2 linked regions of the Drosophila melanogaster genome follow. The gene in region 1 interacts genetically with each later gene. Each region holds a gene or a part of one and is shown on either strand. Other genes may lie near its edges.

Region 1 (7,599 bases):
AGTGTATTTTAAATACAGCTAAAGTGTAATTATCAATTCATTTCGAAAGCAAACTAACTATTACAAATGGAATAGATTAGACCGCAAGGGTGTACTCTAAGCGACGAGCAGCATAATTGATTTTAATCACAAGAATTTAATTAATTAAATAAAAGCCTATATACAAATATATATATAAAAAGCCAAAAAAAAAAAAAAAAAAAAAAAAAAAAAAAGAACAAACACCACTCGTTTTAACTTAATGCCCTAGCTGGGAGTTTATTTATCCACATATACAAATTGTGCTGGAATCGAAGCAGTGCCTTAGGTAGTTAGCTAATTCGCGAATGGGTGTGGTTATTATCATATCTAAAGATCGTCGAAAGAATCCAATCCGCCGCCCGTCTCCTTGCCAAGCTTCGCCTTATCCTGACTCTCGGTCCAAGCTTTGGCGATCATCTGCTTCGTCTTGGAGTCACCGTCGTTGTACATCTTCTTCATGATGTTAACAAGCGCCGATTCGGGATTGTCGCCATCTTTGGACAATTCGCTGTCCTTCTTTTGCTTCAAACGCTTCTGGATAGCGGTGAGCACATCCCAGTGCTTGTCCTCAACCTTCTGCAGATAGATGGCCACCATGTCGGTCTTGATCTTTCGGTAGCTCTTCTCCACATCGATACTGTGCAGCAGATTGTTTACGGTCAGCCCAAAGTCCTTGCCCTGAAGATCGCGCACATGGAGCTGCAACGAGTTAGGTGTGTAGGTGACTGTCACATTCTCCTCCGTGCAGCCCTGCACTCCGTTCAAGGTGATGAAGAGCTTCACGAACTTGGCGCTCTGGTCCCAGCCGTAGTCGGTCAGCTCGTGCAGATATCTGGGCGATCGAAATGGGGATTCATTAGTGGGGCTTGCATGGTTTAAGAAATCTCTGCCCATATATAGTGATGTAGAAAGATGTGGAACTACATTTGGGATATGGACTAATCCCGAAGAGATTTTGTGTTTCGGTCGATTGGGTGTTGGGTTTCTTGGACCTCATGGATTTGCTCACCTCTTGGCTTCGCTCGACCCGGTGGCCTGTCGCTCTGCCGCAATTTTGGCCTTCAACTCCAGATTGACAATCTCCCGTTCCGCCTCCGCTTTAGCGGTGGTCAGCACGTCTTTTACGCGGGCACCTTTCGCCTGCTGCAGGAAGGCCGCCAGCTCGGCCACATCGCTTTTCAGCTGTGTTATTCGATGGGTGTGGGGTTATTTCACTGATGGCTCGTTTTTCAACAACTCGGACTTACCTGTTCCAATGACATTTTGTTTTGTCTGAATAACAGTTGATTAATTTTGTAGGTTCGCAGAAATTTCGAGCAATTCAATGACGCCGGCGCCCGTGGTGAATGTACTAAAAAACGATTAACGCGTGGCGAGCACGGAGCACACTGCGAAAAATACTATTTCACGGTATTTTCAGTATATCAAGTGCCAGCTTTGGTGCACAAAATGTTACATTTAATTATTAAATGTATATATTACTACGACAAAGGGTTGTTTTGTTTTAGAGCTTACTAATGTCAAATTAGAAATACGTGATATTTGAATCCAAGAATGGGCAGATGACTAGTAAATCATGATCCATTATTAATTGATATGATTTTTGTTATAAACTTCTACTTCCGCCGGAAAAGCGATTTTCCCGCCAAACCAGGGTGACCAGTTGGAGGCAGCACACAAGCAATTTTGGTATTACATCCCCGGCGGACGGCGAGCACACTGATCCATAATCTCGAAAAAACCATCGATGGCATCGAACCGGCTGGAACTGAACCATCGATATTATCAGTAGCGCCATCGATGGTTTGATAGCACCTCAGCTCCCGCGGAACGCCGACCAGAACACACGATTCAGACAATACGACCAGTGACCAGAGTTGTTCATGTGCTCCATCCAGGGTATCCACATACAACCAACGGACGCTGCGCCACAGCCAGAGTTCCGGGATTAAAAGGGCGGCGCAGCAGGACTCCGGATTGGAAACAAAAACTATCCAAGTGAGTAGAGGAGTTGTCATCTCAGTTACTGCTGCCGCTCGTCCATACGGCAAATGTCAAAACTGTTCAACCGTTCGGAAACACTTTGCTTTACACTTTGGCCTGGCCGAGAACAGAAATTTTTTAATAAAAAAAATTCCGTGTCAAAATTTGCTCTTTTTAGGCACTTTTTTTTTCTGTAAAAACCGCCATAAAACCACCACAAGCACCATCAATACGCCGATGCCCAAGAAGATTGTGCTCCTGAGGAACAATGGCCGATCGAGTTATGTGCCAGGAGTTGGCCACACCAGGCAGTCACTATCGTCGCCCCAAAACGGGAGTGCCCAGCACCAATGTGGTGTACGCCAATGGTGGCGGATCCTGGCGTGCGGCGCCAAGGCAAACCCAAAGGCTGCCGCGCCAGACCGTTCAGCAATATGCCACCGGCACTCCGGCAACTGGAAGCGCGGGCAGGCATTCGGGCAGAGCATTCGCCACTGCGGGCGCCACCGAGGAGCAGACAGTGGAATTCAATGGAGCTGCAGTCATGGGTCTGCCCGCCACGCCGCGTACAACCAAACAGGCACGCAACAAAAGCGAAGGTAAGTTCAGTTGCTGATCCAACTTGTTAGTGCATACAGATGAATTTAATTGGTTGTATTTTGCTGCAGAAGCCATCAATGATCTCCTCACACGAATCCCGGACATTGGCAAGCTGTTCGATGTTCACAGCCGGATTGGCAACGGAACCTTTAGCACGGTGCTGCTGGGCACACTGCGCCGGGAATCGCATCTGCCGGACAGTCTGCGTCGCAAGTTCGCCATCAAGCATCACATACCAACCAGTCATCCGGATAGGATAATGAAGGAGTTGCAGTGCATGACCAAAATGGGGTAGGTTCCTCATTTCGTTTCCCCACTTGGTGTCCTGTGTCCTTTGCCCTCCCGTATCCTTATAGTATCGCCCGACTGGTTGTAAACCAAACAACCAACCACCCACCCCACCCACGCACGCCGCTTCGTCCCCTCGTCTGCGTCAAACGCCGTTAAACGACGTCAGCCGCCGGCAGCGGCTCCATCTACGTCATTGCAATTTATATTTCGCCGCACGAACGGCAAGCGAGATGGCATGATTGTTGTAGCGTTCGTTTATTGCACTTTCACACGCCATTCACGTGCCCATTTACAGTTACATTGAAGCCCACGGTGCACAGCGAGAAAAATTCGCCACCTTTCTCTGCATTCATTTACGCATTTCACATCACTTTTATATCCGAAATATGTTAGATCTGAATACATTTCGCATTTGTTTATGCAAAATCGCATCTGCCAGTGCACAGAGAGAAAAGAAAAGAGTTCGATATCGCTGTGATATGATAAGTTCCAAAGAAATTATAAATAAATAGGAAGTTCGAGTTCGAGTTCGAGACTCACCTCTGCTCAATACATTAAACCATTTTCGCATATCAAAATGCCATATTAGCTAATCTATACAATATATATCCAAAATTTCTTTCCGTGTGGCAGCTGTAACGTTTGTTTACAGCCCGCGCACATCACACATGCGTGGTTTTCAATTCAGACTGTTGTAGCATATCCTGCAATCCCAGCCGCCGGTTATCGATTGCCCAGAGCAATGGCCAGGTGATTAGATTAGCTACTCGTATTAGATGGGCAAATCGGTTCAATACCGCCTCGAACCGGAGGAGTTTTGGGTTGGCAGGTATCGTCGCCGGTCAGCTCATCGTCCGGCTGTATAATTTACCCCAAATTAGAAAATTAGAAAGAGGAGAGAGTGGGCGGTCAGTGGGTATTTTGTGTGTGTGTGTGTGTGTGTGTGTGTGTGGGCGACGTTGCGTGTTTGACATAAGCCGGCTGCCCGCCCCCTGATTACCCATCGCCCACCGCCCAACATCTTTGCCCCTCGTAGACCCACTGCCCGCTGCGATTTTGTGTCTATTCAAGCAATTTGCGCAAATTCCGCAGACCCAATTGCGTCACAGCCGATGATAATTATGACTGGGCCATGCCGAGTGCTCCCTCACGTATTCACATATGCCGCTTGCCATGTTCCGCACCCGAAGGCCCAGCGCCCAGTTCGCAAATCGCATCTGCCGTATCGCCCATCGCTCACCGTCGAGCTGCGCGACTAGCTAGAAAGTAGCTAATCAAATCAACTGTTTCTAAGTTACACCGAAATCAACATTCCACGCAGACATTTTAAGTAATGGAAATATATATGTAAATAACTTATACTATTATAAACAGTAGTAAAAACTGTCAAATTAGGTTGTACGTTGTATATTCCATATATGTCACAAATATTCAGCTAAAAATAGCTAGAAATCAGGTCCGCACTGGTTCTACGTGACGTCGAAGAATCACTCTCCCTTTCCATTCCTCTCTCCCTCTGTCTCTCTCTTTCTCTCACTGAAATGGAGTGGGCGGAAGTGTGCGTGGGCGTCTCTGTTGTTGTTGTGGTTTTCCCACACGGAACAACAAAGCAACATAAACAAGATGGTAAAGCTGACTTGCATAAATCCTGCTGTTCAGTTCAATTAATTTGATGTGTGACTAGCTTAATCACATTAACTACCCTTAAAGTTAATCAGGGTTGGTGGACACCTGTTGCTCAAATCACTGGTTGGGAATTACAGCCAAAAGCTGCGTATTCAAACTATAACTGCATAACTAATCTATTGTTTTCCCGCTCTAATTCGCTTCTCAGGGGAAAGGAGAACGTGGTGGGCATCCACTGTTGCATGCGTTATGACGCCTCCGCCGCTTTCGTGATGCCCTTCATGGCACATGACCGATTCCAGGACTTTTACACGCGCATGGATGTGCCCGAGATCCGGCAGTATATGCGCAATCTCCTGGTGGCACTGCGTCATGTCCACAAGTTCGATGTCATCCATCGCGACGTGAAGCCGAGCAACTTTCTCTACAATCGACGTCGGCGAGAGTTTCTCCTCGTCGATTTCGGTCTGGCCCAGCATGTGAATCCTCCGGCTGCGCGATCTTCCGGAAGTGCCGCCGCCATCGCCGCAGCCAACAACAAAAACAACAACAATAATAACAATAATAATAGCAAACGGCCACGAGAGCGCGAATCAAAGGGGGATGTGCAGCAAATTGCGCTGGATGCTGGTTTGGGTGGAGCAGTGAAGCGTATGCGTTTGCACGAGGAGTCCAACAAGATGCCCCTGAAACCGGTCAACGATATTGCGCCAAGCGATGCGCCGGAGCAGTCAGTAGATGGGTCCAATCACGTCCAGCCACAGCTAGTGCAGCAAGAGCAGCAACAACTGCAGCCGCAACAGCAGCAGCAACAACAGCAGCAGCAACAACAGTCGCAACAGCAGCAGCAGCCGCAGCAGCAGTCGCAACAGCAGCACCCACAACGACAGCCACAACTGGCGCAGATGGATCAAACAGCATCGACGCCATCTGGCAGCAAGTACAATACGAATCGAAATGTCTCGGCAGCAGCGGCTAATAATGCCAAGTGCGTTTGCTTTGCAAATCCCTCAGTTTGCCTCAACTGTCTGATGAAGAAGGAGGTGCACGCCTCCAGGGCAGGAACACCTGGCTATCGGCCGCCCGAGGTTCTGCTCAAGTACCCAGATCAGACCACTGCCGTGGACGTTTGGGCGGCGGGTGTGATATTCCTTTCGATCATGTCAACGGTGTATCCGTTTTTCAAAGCGCCCAACGATTTTATCGCGCTGGCCGAGATTGTAACAATATTTGGAGATCAGGCGATACGGAAGACGGCCTTGGCTCTCGACCGTATGATCACCCTGAGCCAGAGGTCCAGGCCACTGAATCTGCGAAAGTTGTGCCTGCGCTTTCGCTATCGTTCCGTTTTTAGTGATGCCAAGCTCCTCAAGAGCTACGAATCTGTGGACGGAAGCTGCGAAGTGTGCCGGAATTGTGATCAATACTTCTTCAACTGCCTATGCGAGGATAGCGATTACTTGACAGAGCCACTGGACGCATACGAATGTTTTCCACCCAGCGCCTATGACCTACTGGATCGCCTGCTCGAGATTAATCCCCATAAACGAATTACCGCCGAAGAGGCACTAAAGCATCCATTCTTTACGGCCGCCGAGGAGGCCGAGCAGACGGAGCAGGATCAGTTGGCCAATGGAACGCCGCGCAAGATGCGTCGACAAAGATATCAAAGTCACAGAACGGTGGCCGCCTCACAGGAGCAGGTCAAGCAGCAGGTTGCCCTTGATCTGCAGCAAGCGGCCATTAACAAGCTGTGAAACTAGTCCCCACCATGCAAACATACATACACCACTTGTACATACATACATATACTATACCCAGTTCGCTGATCATGATTGTACATATATATAGACCCACCTCAAGAGCATATCTCATTATTGCACCCAGAGCCAGAAGAAACTCGTCCAATGCCCCACTAGGCCACATTTACTTACCTCAAGCCGCAGGCAGATAAAACCAAATGAAACCACGCAACAAACACACACAACACTCACAAACAAACATACAAATGTATATTTAAAGAAATGTTTCAATCATGAACAAAATGGGCAAGGAATACCAAAAAAGCAAACGAGGAGAGATTGATTATGAAATATTGTGGCCGAAAGGCTACAAAATGTTGTATATTAAGGAACACGAAGGCGACCCAAGTGCATGGCCCTCATCGCCCAGTGGCAAAGAATTTTGCACTATCCCCATCATGTATAGTTCGAATAGTCTTGTAGCTAACCTACTTAGGTATAATTATTGTATATCTGAAAACCATGTGAACGAGGATATAAGAGCGACAAATACATATATTTATACCGTGAAGATTGAATGAAGGCCTTGATTTTCTTTGCTCCAAAAATGGAAATTTGTGCAAATTATTCTTTATTTGCTTAAACAAACAAATGCTTGGGGATTTTAGTACGCATATTGTTGTTACCGTACGTTAAATTATTCATTATATTTCAGTTGCAAATATAGGACTCATAAAATTAAAGTGTAAATTTAAATGACTCACCCTTTTCAAAATAAATCCATGCAATTAAAGTTGTACATTATTTAATTTCACATTTATTGAGCACAAATCACCTAAAAAAAAATATAAAAAAAAACACAAATACTCTCACATTTTGATGAGCCATTTCACAACAAAACACTCGCGATGGCAAAATGCACAAGATCACCGCTCTAAAACGTAGCATACTCTTAAGTGCACATGAGAATGCCAGTTGAACACGCACCAACACACCCACACACGCGCCAACGGAGAATGAGCCCAAAGGAGAATGAGGAAATTGCAGAAATTTACCAATTTCACCCGTTTAAACTAGAAATACCGTATCAAACGCATTGCGTCGACCTGCGCTCACTGGTTAATTACACTTTGTAGCACTTTTCGACAGCAAACGACGCTGATATTTATTTAATTTTAATTTTAAAGCGCGTCAGCCATCGCATTTTGTGTTTACCGCTGCTCACGGACGAAGAAAGTGACCGCTTGCGGAGAGAACTTGAACTTTTGAGCTGCAGGAGAGAAATCAAAAGAACGGTAAATAAAGCTTTGCCGCTTGGAAGCGTTGAACTGCTTGT
Region 2 (5,127 bases), on another chromosome or scaffold:
CTTCTGGCGCAAATTAGCTGCAGCCAACGGACCCAGAATTAAAGAGAAAAGAAATTGCAGAAAACGCCATTAATTAAAATTTATTTTGAAGAGCTGAGCTACAGTCGAATTTTAACAAATTAAAGCTTTGGCAATATTCTACCAAATTCACAAAGTACAAAATAACTGTATGCTTTATGTAGAGTTAAATTTAATGAAACTTAAGATTTTACCATTGCACTCAAAAATAAATTTAAAAATCAGACCATAAAAATGATTATTTACAAAAAAAAAAAAATTGAACTTAAGTAATATTAATTTCCAACTTATTACATCCAAATACGTTGTACATGTTCTTATAAAATGTTTCAGTAACACAAATATTTAAAAACATTTTATTAAAAACAAGAACCACTCCTATAAAGTTTCCCTCCAATTTTAGTTGGAACAAAGTTATACCAGTCTAAAGCTGTAGTTATAACCATTGATATAATTGGTTTAGTTTTTAATTTTTATTCAAAATTCGACCGTAGCTGGAAATCCAACACCAACCGCGTTTTAAACTTGTTTGCCACGAAAAATGATATAAAAACAAATAAATCACTGTGGGGGAAATCCTACTCCCGGTGGTTCTTCTTCCTCTTGTTCCTTGTACGTTTCCCGATGTGTGTTATGCAATGTTGCATTCGGATACACACAAATCAAATCAATAACTGCACTTGGATGCATTTCGGTATGTATTGCCTAAAAGGCCATCGAGTGTTAAGTGTGAGTTAATTTATTTTAATTCCAAACTAAATGGAACACAGAAACACGACCCAAGCGGGTGGAAGAAGAAGAAGCAGCAGCTGTGCTGCAGCATAGCGCTGCCAGGTCGGGGGGCTACGCTTAGCGAGGCGTTGCCAGCACGCGAAAAAATTAGGGGTGACACAGCTGCAACATAATTGTACTGTATTGTTGCATTTGATTAAAAACCAGTTATATTTACAAAACAGGCACGAAAAAACAAATGTGGAAGAATAGCGATTCAAGAAAAAAAACAGTTGGTGATGACACTTATTCTTAATCACTCATACTAACCTCGGCTTGTATATAAGCTCTATTTAATAAATTGTACTTTCTTTATTTATACTATTATTATTTAATTTTATAAAGTCAACCCTAACAAATATAATTATGCATCTTATCGTTGTATTTCTTGCTAATTTGCGCAATATGGCTTATCACATTCCATTCATATTTGTTGTTTTGGTTTTTTACGTCTCCCAAAAAAACAATGCGAATGAGCTGACAAAGCCATAATGGCCGATGACCGATATTAAACTCATAATGACAATTAGTCCGGCAACCCTGCCGTTCACAGTACTAACACATTCGTAAATACTTGCAAATAAATTGTATGCCTAGCCAATATGCACTGACGCGCGTCAATATATATATAACCTGAAAAACGAGCACATCAGCGCTGCGCTGGCACTTTTTCTGCCCTCGCTTTATATTTGCCATTACAAAACGAAACGTTGGCGCAAAGAGAAACGAAAGAAACCCTAGTGGCAACCCTCAAGCGGTAGCAGTAGCAACAACAACTAAGGAAAAATAAGAAAAAGAGTAGGAGCACACAAGGAGTAAAGCGAAAAATAACACGAAAAACGCACAAAACACAAAAAGAGAGTGGAGGGAAAAAAACAACACACACACACAATTCATACAGTTGCGGTGGAAATTATAGCACTTTCAATTTAAAATAACCGAAATAGACATTTTAATGAGTGTAATGAGTTTTGTGCATTAGGTAAATAAAATATATTCCGTAAGACAATTTTTCTATTAATATTACAAATTCAAATTGCACATCGACATTTCCCTAACGCTTTACCCGCTGCTGTATGCGTACATATGTATGTTTGTGGATAAAATTCATGTGAAGTTGCGGATGAAGCTTACAATGTGGTGGAGGCCGAAACACACGAGCAAACGCAGAAAAGCAGGCCCAGGGCAGCAGCAACAACAACTATGACTAGCAAGCCAAGTACAAAAAACACACAGAACAGTGGGGTCACAAGAGCCGTGTGTTTAGGATTTCCACTGAAATGTATTTATGCCACAGTACGTGAACCTTGCCAAAGCAGTTTTCCTTCGATGTCGGGCCGGCCTTTATTCGATTATTCCTAAATTTTTGGTCCGAATGAATTTTGTTGCTGCAAACCACTGTGCCATGGGTATGTATAGTGTGTTATTCACAATTTCCAAGTAATACTCGTTTTTATATTTTCTTTTTTCCATTGCTCCGTATTTCTGCCTGTGCCGCTGCTCTTTTTCTTGTCTGTGCTTTGTACGCACGTTCGTTTTGGAAATAAAAACAAATTGAAATGGTGACGAATCGTTTGAAATTCAGTTTGAAAAGCCGCAACCAAAAAAAATTGTGCATACAAAATAACAAACCAAAAACAATCCCACACACACACGCACGCACACTTGTACGGATTGCTTACCTTTTAGAAATTCACGGAGTTGCTCGGCTGATATGTTCCTATAGCCCAAATCATTTAGATACTGGAGAATGGCCCGTGCATCTAGTGGCAAATGTGACATTTTACTTTTCGCCAAGTAGAGCAATCGTTCTTGATATTCGTATTGTTAATTATTTTTTGTTTATATTCCACCCTCACACATACACACGCGCGCGCACTCGAGCACATACAAACACACACACGAATGCAAAATCGCCGTTCGTTTGGTTTCTCTTTCTCGTTTGTTTCGTTCGCTTCTTCTTCCTTTTGTTCGTATTCGTCTTCGTGCGCCGACAATCGACCAATTTTCACTGTACTTTTGCTCTGCGTTGGCCGTTTTTGAGTTTATACTTGCATTTACTTGCGTCAAGTTAATCAGTTGCAATGACTAAATATACACAACTGTATGGGAACGATCGGTATAAGCGTCTATATGCCTTCGTTCGCCCGTCGTTCGTTTGCTAACGCCTTTGTTATTTTTATGCCTTTTATCAGGTTTTCGCGGTCGGATGGTCGCCAATTCGATTGTGCACGCACAGTTCGAGTGTCGAAATTGGGCCTTTTCTTATTTTCACATATTTCCTCGCTAGTTTTATAACAATTTTCACCAATTGAAAATAAAGTGTACACGGACAGGGCAGCGCACACACGCTCGGCAACCAAATTTTCGTCGTGTTATCGATAACTATGTTGGCTGGCGATGGTCGATGGTTGCTAAGCGGCGTGACTGAGTCGCGGTCACATATCGTTTTAAGGGAAAAAGTCACGGATTAGCAGTTTTAAAAAAGGTCTAGTTTAATATTGATTCGTTTTTCGTGACGAGAGACATTAATTATTCATTGAATTTATTTATTTCATTTAAAAATATACACTAACGTACTTACAATTTTGTTAACATGAATCTATGATATATACCATAAATTTAAAATTTGTAATTGCGATTTGAAACATCGACAGCGATGGCTATCTTCATGTATCGATAGGCAACGACAGTCCGTCCCTACCAGCAACGCGAAAGGTTTTTGTCTTGCTTTCTTGTTGCTTTGTGTGATTCTCGAGTCTCTGTTCTGCGTCTGCGTCCCGTTCTCGTGCCAACGAACTGATTTCGCCCCGCGTTCGTGCTCAATCGTAAATTCGAAATAAATTAAAAATGTCTCGCAGTTCGTACCTGTTGTGTGTGCTGTTTTTAGGTGAGCGAAAGAGAGGGAGAAGAAATGAAGAAATCGCCTCGCGATCAGATTTTACGGATACGCATCTCGTTATTGCAGGCGCCAGCTGCTTGGTTTTCAGTGCGAGTGCAGCGCGGAACAATCGAAGGGGTTACAAGGCCACGGAACCGCCCACCACCACCCAGCCCCCGCAGACGGCCAAGGAGTATCTGGATAGTCGACCCGGAATCTCCACATTCGGCATCATCGCCATCATCTTCACCGTAATCGTTCTCTGCCTCGTCTTCTACTACGGCATCATTTGCTACCCCTTACTCTGTCGCGATGACAAGAAATATCGGTTTATGGACGTATCTTCAACCATTACTGCCGCCACATCGCGCTCCATTCAATCCATAGAGAACTATCCCGACCAGAAACACCATCATACGTTGGCCTGATTCGGGGTGTGGACACCTGGAGGATAGTGGTTTAGTAGTACTTCAATTTAGTAACGCGAAAAAGACTTAAATGCCAGCCAGAAACGAAAACCCATTAGTATGACTACAGATTTAGGTCCTAAGTTTTAAAAAGAAATATCTCGAATTTTATCTCTATATACCCTTCGCATTACTGGAAAGTAATTACTTTTTTAACATATTCGAAGTTCCGAAATGCTCTGAAAGAATTTTCCCATATTTTGACCGAATTTCGTAACAAAGCAGTACTACACATAGCAATAACCAGTTGAGGAGTTCGCTGGAAAGGGAATTAATCATTCATAATTGTAAATTGGGTTTCCTACGCATCCCCGACTGTTTCTTTATCTGTTGTTTCTCTTAATCCCGGGCTCAACAAGTTTGGCCTGTCCTCTGGCCCTTTTTCCTTGTCCCTCCTGCATCTTTGGCCTTTTTTTATTTCTTTTAATGCAGGTAGTTTTAGCCGTTTACTCACCGCTTTGTTCTCTGTTCATTTTTTTTGTGGGACAGAGCCAAATTGTGGCAATTGAGTCACGTTGCCTGGTTGTTTCTTTCGAAATCCAAGGGAATTTAGCGATCTTTTTTATACCGTCTTCACGCAACCCAATTTGCATTAAGAATCCGAATCGTACTAACAGACGAACTCTTCGTGATGCCTCGAATTTTGCACTACATTTTAAAACGCCGATTCCCGTCCCTTTATATACACAGGTTGTACTTAAATCGAAACCAAGTACTTAATAATTGTACCATGCCAATCATAGTTTAAGCGCCAATCTGCCGCCACGAATACATTTAAGAAATCTTCAGTTTGTGCATTTAGACCAGCATGAGTATCCTTCTATATATTGTGTCAAAAAAAACGTTTTTAGACGTTATATAGCATTAAGTCTATCAAAGTTTATATACAAATCTTTTTGGACATTTTTATGTGAGTTTTACATAAAATAAATGGTTTTACCTCACCCAACGGTAAAATTCTCACACATTTTATTGGAATTTGGGGTGGTA

Evidence for each region.
Region 2: of Cdc7 (region 1) and chif, changing one enhances a phenotype caused by changing the other (phenotypic enhancement), as found in Drosophila melanogaster (one study listed by BioGRID).

What each region holds. Positions count from the first base shown.
Region 1 is NC_004354.4:6,652,878-6,660,476, forward strand, and holds Cdc7 (Cdc7 kinase), read left to right. Parts: upstream 1-1,663; 5' UTR 1,664-2,019; intron 2,020-2,182; 5' UTR 2,183-2,272; coding exon 2,273-2,603; intron 2,604-2,672; coding exon 2,673-2,895; intron 2,896-4,729; coding exon 4,730-6,278; 3' UTR 6,279-6,832; downstream 6,833-7,599. Other genes in the region: CG3226 (uncharacterized protein), read right to left, coding at 349-853, 1,031-1,203, 1,269-1,283. UniProt on the Drosophila melanogaster protein: Catalytic component of the Dbf4-dependent kinase (DDK) complex. Phosphorylates components of the pre-replication complex, including Mcm2 and, to a lesser extent, Mcm4. Phosphorylates histones, including H3 and H2B.
Region 2 is NT_033779.5:16,349,456-16,354,582, forward strand, and holds the start of chif (chiffon), read right to left. Parts: upstream 3,174-5,127; 5' UTR 2,572-3,173; coding exon of another isoform or gene 2,472-2,571; intron 829-2,471; exon of another isoform or gene 532-828; intron 18-531; 5' UTR 1-17. Other genes in the region: Hyls1 centriolar and ciliogenesis associated, read right to left, coding at 2,472-2,571; CG4455 (uncharacterized protein), read left to right, coding at 3,640-3,679, 3,758-4,098. UniProt on the Drosophila melanogaster protein: A bicistronic gene producing two proteins that are components of different complexes and have separate properties and functions.